Linked DNA regions of Rattus norvegicus. The protein of the gene in region 2 interacts with the protein of the main gene of each other region in a biochemical or structural test. Links are inferred from orthologs where the notes say so. Each region holds a gene or a part of one and is shown on either strand. Other genes may lie near its edges.

The links.
Region 1: the proteins of Frmpd4 (region 2) and Dlg3 interact in a test that uses a peptide from one of them, tested with the Homo sapiens proteins (2 studies listed by IntAct, with this or other methods). The link is inferred for Rattus norvegicus from reciprocal best matches to the Homo sapiens genes FRMPD4 and DLG3.

The regions. Positions count from the first base shown.
Region 1 is NC_086039.1:69,898,445-69,903,043, forward strand, and holds the start of Dlg3 (disks large homolog 3), read left to right. Parts: upstream 1-1,558; 5' UTR 1,559-1,903; coding exon 1,904-2,260; intron 2,261-4,599. UniProt on the Homo sapiens protein: Required for learning most likely through its role in synaptic plasticity following NMDA receptor signaling.
Region 2 is NC_086039.1:30,365,558-30,369,371, reverse strand, and holds part of Frmpd4 (FERM and PDZ domain-containing protein 4), read right to left. Parts: intron 1,158-3,814; coding exon 1,068-1,157; intron 526-1,067; coding exon 343-525; intron 1-342. UniProt on the Homo sapiens protein: Positive regulator of dendritic spine morphogenesis and density. Required for the maintenance of excitatory synaptic transmission. Binds phosphatidylinositol 4,5-bisphosphate.

The DNA.
Region 1 (4,599 bases), about 40 Mb from region 2:
ATATAGGCTTTTTACTCAGATCTCTCTATATCTGGGCGATGCATTGGAAGATACCACTCCTATTGAGGGTCCGTTCATCTGCCCTGGAAATGCCCTCACAGATATGCCCAGCGTGTATCTTCTAGGTGATTCTAATTCTACTTAAGTTGACAATCGTGGCCAGTTATCCTAACTCTATGATTATCTTTTCTTCGTTGCACTCGCTCACGTTTGTCTACATCCTCTCGTTAGGATGTACGCTCCCCAATGTCAGGGACTTGTTCTGTTTGTTGTGTCTTACTGTTCTATTACTACAGTCTAGAACAGTGTTTCGCATGAACATCTGTGGAATTAAGCCTAAGTCTCTATTCACAACACCCATGTAATGGCCTTACACAGGTTAAGTGCTCAATAAATGTTTGTAAGATTAAATGGAGACCTGAAATTTGCAGGAGAACTGGGAGCATGGATTTGAGTCAATTGGCAAGAACTTTCGTCTTTCGGTTATGCTACCTAGCTGTGTTAGCAGCACTGAGCTTCCAGTTGTTGTTGGTAGAATGGAGGTACCTTTAATCCTGCCTTGACAGACATTTTTGTTTGCACTTCAGACTTCGTAATGATTCAGTCATGGTCTGCTAAAGATAAAACAAGGATAGCCACAAAAAGCTAGCCTGGGTGACATTTGTAATACCACCATTCAAGTTGTTGAGGCAGGATGATCACTCTGTCTCCAAAAAAAAAAAAAAAAAGATTCTTATGATTATCTTTGCCCTCCCTTCCAACAGCGAGAGCCAGGGGAAGCTAAGCAGACCTCCTTCAATAGGTATTCTTGGGTGCTTTACCAGACCCACAGAATTGGCTTCTTTCACTTCAGATCTTTTCTTACCACTTCCTTGTACCTGAACTCCCTTTCTTCTTAACATTTCAAGTCTCTTTTCCCTAACATAACCATGGAGTGGAGGCAGAAGTGTCAGAGGCAGGCGTAAGTAGTTTTCTCCTATTGCCGCTTCTGAGGTTAAGTCTCTCGCTGGTGATGTAAGAAAGGTCGACTGTGAAAGATAGTCATTTCTGTCAGGGCCTAGGGAATGAGAGAACAAAGGTCCTGATCAAGAGCCGCTCACAGACCTGGATGCTGTCCTTTTCCTTGGTCCCCTGCAGGAGGCAGCACTTCTCGCACCCTGCCCAGATGCCCCTTTGGTCGGTTCTGTTGCTGCCTTTACTTCTGGTGGCCCTAGCTTAGAGCAAGCTTAGGGACCCATTGAGCATCTCACTGCAACTCCCTCTTGCAAGCGGGGCGGGGTGGAGTGGCCAGAGGACAGCCTGAAATTGACAACACAAGGACACAGGATCGCAGGATCATCCTCTTCAGCTTTCTAATGGCCCAAATCTCAGCAACCTATACTAGGATCGCCAGTAACCCCAGAGAACAGGGGAGATGTGTCTGAGCCGGGGGGCGCCTCTGCTTCTGTTTCTTTAAGGAGCCGCTGTTTAGCATTCCTGCTGCTGCCGCTGCCGCTGCCTGACTCTGCGTTCTGATTGGCTGGAATCAATTGAGAAGGGAGCCAGGGAGAGATGCTCTTGACTCCACTCAGATCCATCCTGGGGACCTGAGCAGAAGAGGTTCTCGCCGCACCTAACCCTTGCCTGGGAGCCCGATTCTTCTTTGCCGCTGGGCCTCGGCCCAGAAGCCACAACGGGCGACACGGAGCCGCCAGTGCTGGAGGGGGAGCCATGGGTGCGGGGCAGCGTGGGGGCAGAGGCCCCGGGACGCCCGCCGGGCCCCAGGCCCCGCTCCGCCCGGGCACCCCCACGGGTGCCCCCCCCTTCTTGGTCTGAGCAGTGCGAGTGTGCTAGGGAGCCCAGCGGCGGCGGCGGCGTGGAAACTGGCGTGGGCTGGGGGGTCCGAGCCGCGGGGGGCAGTGCCATGCACAAGCACCAGCACTGCTGTAAGTGCCCCGAGTGCTATGAGGTGACCCGCCTGGCCGCCCTGCGGCGCCTCGAGCCTCCTGGCTATGGGGACTGGCAGGTGCCGGACCCCTATGGGCCAAGTGGGGGCAATGGGGCCAGCTCCGGTTATGGAGGCTACAGCTCGCAGACCCTGCCTTCACAGGCAGGGGCTACCCCCACCCCTCGCACCAAGGCCAAGCTCATCCCCACAGGCCGAGATGTGGGGCCAGTGCCCCCTAAGCCAGTACCCGGCAAGAACACCCCAAAACTCAACGGCAGTGGCCCCAGCTGGTGGCCCGAGTGCACCTGTACCAATCGGGACTGGTATGAGCAGGTAAGGACCGGCGGATGAGGAGGAGGGGAGGCTGGTGGGACAACCCAAAGGACTAGGAATTGGGGTCTAGGAAGTCTGGGGAGCAATAGAGGTTGCTGGGGTTCCAAGTCTATGGATCTGAGCCTTAGCACTGCAGCTGACCAAAGAGAGACTATTGAAAATACATGTTTCTTCTATGTGTGTCTGTTTAGGGGGTCTCCATTTGGAGGGGATTGGGAGGAGCTGTTTGTATCAGGGGGTGATGGTATGGCGGAGGGGCACATTTTCTAGTGTGGGGGATTTGGGTTTGTCTCAGTGCAGGGCGGGGGGTGGCAGTGTCTCTGTGTCTGGCAGGGGGCGGGAGGTTCTGCGGGGGTTGTATGTGGTGTGTGTCTCCATAGGAGGGGAGGAGGGGGCATGGTGCTCTGCGTGGGGGGGACATATGTGTTTGTATGTATGTTGGGGTGTGTGGAATAAAGCAATGGAGCTTGTGTGAATGTATGTAGCAGAGCCCATGTGCCCAGATGGCCAAGCTTCATCTCTCCATACCATGAGTCCCTCTCCATCGCAGTCCCTTTGTGTGTGAACGTGCACATGGATATGTGAGGATGTCTCTGAATGTGGAGGTGTCTCTGTAGATGAGGCTGCAGGGATAGCTGTGTTTGCCTGAGGGTGTCTCCATGTATATGTGTGTGAGCATGTGGCTGCAAGAGTGTACACGTGTGTGTGTGTGTGTGTGTGTGTGTGTGTGTGTGTTGTCCCTGATGAGAAGCGCTTGACAGGCAAAGGTGGGGGGGGGGCAAGACACGTCCCAAGCAAGGCTGAGAGGCTGCTGAGAAGGACAGACTCTTTTGTCCAGGCTGTTCTGAAGTGTGTGTGTTGCGGGGGGGGGGGGTAGGGGGTGTTAAACAAGCCTTCTTGCTCCAAAGCAGGCATATTGCCTGGAACTAGGCAAAGGGTAGCTGCCCTCATGCAGGGTCTGCCCTGAGTAGGGCATGGCCCTTATAGGTACACACAGATGTGAGAGAGCTTAGCTTCCCAGCTCTGATTTGGCACAGCTTGGGAGCCCCTGGGTGCTGGGCACAACTCCGGCTTCCACTCCCAGCCTGAACTGCCAGCTTAGAAAATGGAAGGAGCGTCTGTGGGAGAAGCAGCAAAATGGAGGCTGGGCCAGCAGAGCCAGGTCTCTGGCACGCATGGCGGAGGGCCTGTCTAGTTCTTCAGTTCTGCAGCCCCCAGGGTGGAAAGAGAGGAGGAGAGGCTTTGCTCTCTGTGGCTGGTGCTGACTGCCCCAAGCTGGTGACCATTCTGGCCACCCCTGTCCTCTTCAGAGAATAGGATGTGCTTTTTACCTAGAAGCAAAAGAGGGGGATTCTTGGACATAGGAATCCTCCTTTCTGAATGTCTGTTTGTCTATACCTCTTCCTATGTCCCTAGTCTTGGTTCCTTGCCCTCTCCAGTGAGTCTCCTCTTTTTTGCCCCTCCCTTACAAACACACTCTCATACTTGGCCTGCCCAGTGGGAAATAGGTGCTAATTCCAGGGCTGGGCCCGTTGGGTACCCTATCTTTACCCAGGCTGATCTTTGGATGGCTCCTGACCCTAGAGGCAAGGTCCCTGAGTGGAAGTGGGACTAGAGCTAGAAGGTGGATTACTGGGAGCTGGAACCTCTAGGTACCACCCAAACTAAGCTTGAAGCACGGCTTGTCACATGTGGAGCACCCATGGTACCCTAGGTACATGAAAGAGCTGCATGGGCTCTTTTTTGCTCTGAATTGGTTGTATTATACTTCAGTTGGCTGTATTGGTTTGGGGGTCTCTGAAGAACCAATGATTTTTCTCCTGGGACCAGGGTGAGGCTGCAGCTGAAGTCCTACTCACTGCCTCCTTAAGACCACAGAACATAAAGGAGGAGATAGGGGAGGCATGGCTAGTCAGCACTCTTGAAGCCAGTGCCGCAGAGAATGAAGGTGGGAAGGGGGAAGCAGAGCAGAATGTGTTAGAAGAGCCTTCACCCTGGGTTTCCAGCTGCTCTCTTCTGGGGCCAAAACTTAAGAAAGGTATAACACAGCCAGAGGAATTTGGACCAGTGCTGGGACACCTGGTGAGAGAGACAAGGAGGTTCCTTCAGTCTTGAAAATGATTATGGGAAGGAGGGAGCAGGTGTACATGTCTGTGAAGAATCAAATTTCCACTTGAACAATGGCCACAAGTATGTCCTGTCTGGAAGGCAATGTCTATTTGTTGCTGAAAACAACCTGTGTTTTTTTGAACCCCTCACTGGCCTGTATTCCCATGGCTACTGTGTGCTAAAGATCACAAATTCTGCTTCTACTGTCTATGGGTCATCAGGTTCTCTGT
Region 2 (3,814 bases):
AGTCTAGAAAGTGTGATGGGAACATAGTCTCCCAAGTGTTATATGATTCAGTATTCTACACCGTGAAGGGATTGAGAATGATATAACTTGCTGTTTTTGTGCACCGATGGAGAAACTGTGCCTAAAGAAATATAATAACCTGTCCCCAAATGAGACAGCAATCTAATGAGGACTAGAACACCTAGATAGGAGTTGTATGGATTTATTATTTACTTTTTTTAACCAAATGGCATCTGTGAGGCCATGCACACATTAACTCTTTCATGCATGATGAGTACTATCAGAGCTATCAGAAATGAACTGCTGAAGGCAGTGCCATGGGTCACCATGCGAAAGGCTCACCTTCACATCGAGCACATGCAACTCCACCCTCACCAAACTCTCCTCTTCAGTAAACATTTCAATCCTGTTGACATGGCTGAAGTCAGCTAAAAGAGCCACCAGGTTGGTTTTGGTGTTTATGACATGGCTTATGCCATACCGGGGACCCACCAGAAGAGTCACTTCTGAGCGCTTCTCTGCCTGCTAAGGAAAGAGAATGACAGAGTATTTCAAGGTTCAGGACTTTTGAAGCATCATCTAAATCTCAGACTGAGTGACTCTTTTCCTAAGATCATGATGTATTCTTTGGAAAGTTTTTCTGGGTTATATTGCATTAAATCATCCAATTAGGTGGACTCAGATATGAGTATATAGGGTTGCCCATAAATGATGAATAACATAGAAAGTAAATGTAGTCATTATACAATATATTTATGCACATCAAAAGCTTTTAGAAGTGAGAAGTGTCCCCCTCCCTTTTCTATCTCAGTGATTGAAAAGGCACCATTGTTAAGAGTCCTTTGATTCCATTTTTCCCCCAGGGCTTCTACAGCAATGCTACTTAGATCGAACATTTCTCAAGGTATCTCCAGACTGTGGTGAAGTTGGTTAGTATTGAAAACAAGGAAAGATTCCTAGCTTCTTTATGTTTATCATCCAGGGCAACTCCTTGAAGACAGCCTGTGCTGTGCTGTGATGTTTGGCCAGCCTCTGGCTCCAGACAGAAAGAAAGAAAATGCAATTACCACTAATGTTGCCTTGAACACACGGCCCCCGTATAGTCGCAGGTCACTGAGGAACTTGAGATAGTGGACCTTAGCTTGTAGTGCAGAGAGCTGAGGAAAGAAAAGAAAATTCAAATGTGGGCTTCATTGTGTGGGACTCTTTCTATTGTGGAAATAAAGGTACAAGACAATTTGTCACTGTGTGAACCAAATTATTTTATGTTTTAAGACACTGTTTCATGTATCTTAGTCTATCTTCAAATTTCCTAGTTAGCTGAGGATGACCATGAACTTCTGATCCTCTTGCCTTCACCTCTGGAATGTTGGAATTACTGGTGTGTGGCACCATGCCCAGTATATGCAGTGCTGGGGTAGAATCCAGTGCTCTGGGTTCAATACCAACTGAGTTGCACCTCCACCCGCAAAGGATGCTTTTATTGCTAGGGAGATGGGGTATGAGAAAGACTCTTCAGCAGGAAGGCAATATATTACTATATCCTGTGTTTTGGGATAATGAACTGAAATGTAACACCAAGATTCAAATCTTATTGCTGCTTCTGGAAGAGAAGTGTGAATGTGTGTGTGTGTGTGTGTGTGTGTGTGTGTGTGTGTGTGTGTGTGTGTGTGTGATGAAAGATGTTGAGGTAGGTGCATGAGTATAGACACATGGTTCAGTCCATTCAATAAGTGAGATATTACTCTCTGGAAATGTATGCTCACTGAAAGGTTACAATAGGTAAGGGACACTTTCTGACTGTGATTAGAGACAAAGGAGTGTTGAGTGTAAATTCTCTAATGACATAGGAGACTCACTTGCACACAGAATTTGTGGGGCTGCCTGAGATCTTTGCAAATCTTTTAAGCAACCTTGCACACCTCCCATCTCAAGTTTCTTCTACCCTTTTCAGAGTTTCAGGGTGAATGAACTTTCTGAACTCCAATCACAGTGAAGTGGTTTGAGTTTTCTATGAACATTCTGGTTTTGTTAATGCAACTCTGAGAATCTATGGAGTTTGATGAACTACAAATATCTAGACAAAATGGATCTTTATAGAGACTTCAAAAATGGAGGCTTTCGTGTCATTTAAAAATGAGGAATTTAATTAGAATCTGTACCTGTCTTATATTGAATGCATAAGGAATGTTTATCAAAGGTGAATTTTCAACAAGGTATGAATAATCACCATTAAACAGTAAAGACTGGAAAAATTTCTTCACTCACGTATGACTTTCCAATTCCCCTTCTATCTATAACAAGAGATATTATCTTCTGTGTAGTGATGATTTTTCACCATTCATTCACCCGAAATCTTGTCAAAAACGCCCAAAATTTAAGCCAACCACTTTATTGGCTGGAAATGCTATAGTAGGAAGCGTGCACATGCGCGCGCACACACACCCACACCCCCACACCCCCCCCCACCCCCCCACACACACCCCACACGCATGCATGCGCACACGCACATACACATGCACACGTGCACACACATATGGGTATATAATAGATAAAAGAATGAACTAATATTGGTAGTTGTTAATTATCATAAGACTAGGCCACCAAGCCTGAAAAAAAATCAAGTCAAACTACTTAACAGACATCGATTTTGGGGAAATGAGAACAAAAACTATAAAACATATGTGTGTGTGTGTGTGTGTGTGTGTGTGTGTGTGTGTGTCTGCCTGTTTCTCTGTCTCTGTCTCTGTCTGTCTCTGTCTCTGTCTGTCTCTGTCTGTCTCTGTCTCTGTCTGTCTCTGTCTCTGTCTCTCTCTCTTTCTCTCTATCTCTATCTCTCTCCATATATATGAGTGTGGGATGTATATGAGTGCACGTGTGCATGGAGGACAGAGGATATTACATAAGGATATCAAGAGCCAGTTACCTTGCTTCATTTGAGAAGGTATTTCATAGTCCTGAAGCTCATAAAGTAAGCTAAGGCTGGCAGGCCAGTGAGCCCCAGTGAGCTCCAGTGAACTCCAGGAAGCCTGGGTCCATCTCCTAGTACCGGGATTATAAGTATTAACCAGCACATTCAGCATCATTGCTTGGGCTCTGGAATTGAATTCAGTCTTCCCGCTTGTGTAGCAAGCAGTTCTCCATCTGAGCCATTTCCCCAGCCCTAGGAAGTGTAAAAGTATTGACCCATGGTATCTTTCTATTTTTATGAAGCTGGGTGCTCACAGCGAGGTGATAGCGGACATTTTCCATTGAAACTAAGAAAGAGAATGTGGCCAAGAGTGTATTGAACTTGGTTATATCTTTCAAAAAATGTTTATGGGGTGAAGCCTTATAAAAATGACTGAAAATAGGATACCATGACCAAAGAACTCCCTACATGGATGGTGATTTGTATTGAGGTCAGACAAGTTTCTCTACTTTATATCAGCTCTAGTGTGTACTCAGGTTGTTTCTCATTTTATAGGCACAGAGATTTAAGGCTCCTTGTCTCTGTACTTACTGGAATCTTTGTTCTTTTATTACTTCTAAACCACGCCTTTCTTTTTTTCTGAACAACAGAATACTTTTAAATGGTCTTTGTGCTTCTCTTAATAAAAACAGAAATGAATACAAATATTTTAACACTAATGATGAGTGGCAGGGAAATCTTATCCTTCTCTTTCCAAAATTGGATTCAATCCAATGGTTATCAGTGGTGATGGTAGAGATTTTGTTCCTTAGGGCATCCATGTCAATATGTGGACATATTTTTAATAATAATTAAGGAAGGAGTGACACTGATACCTGTCCTGTACAGATCAAGGATGCTTCG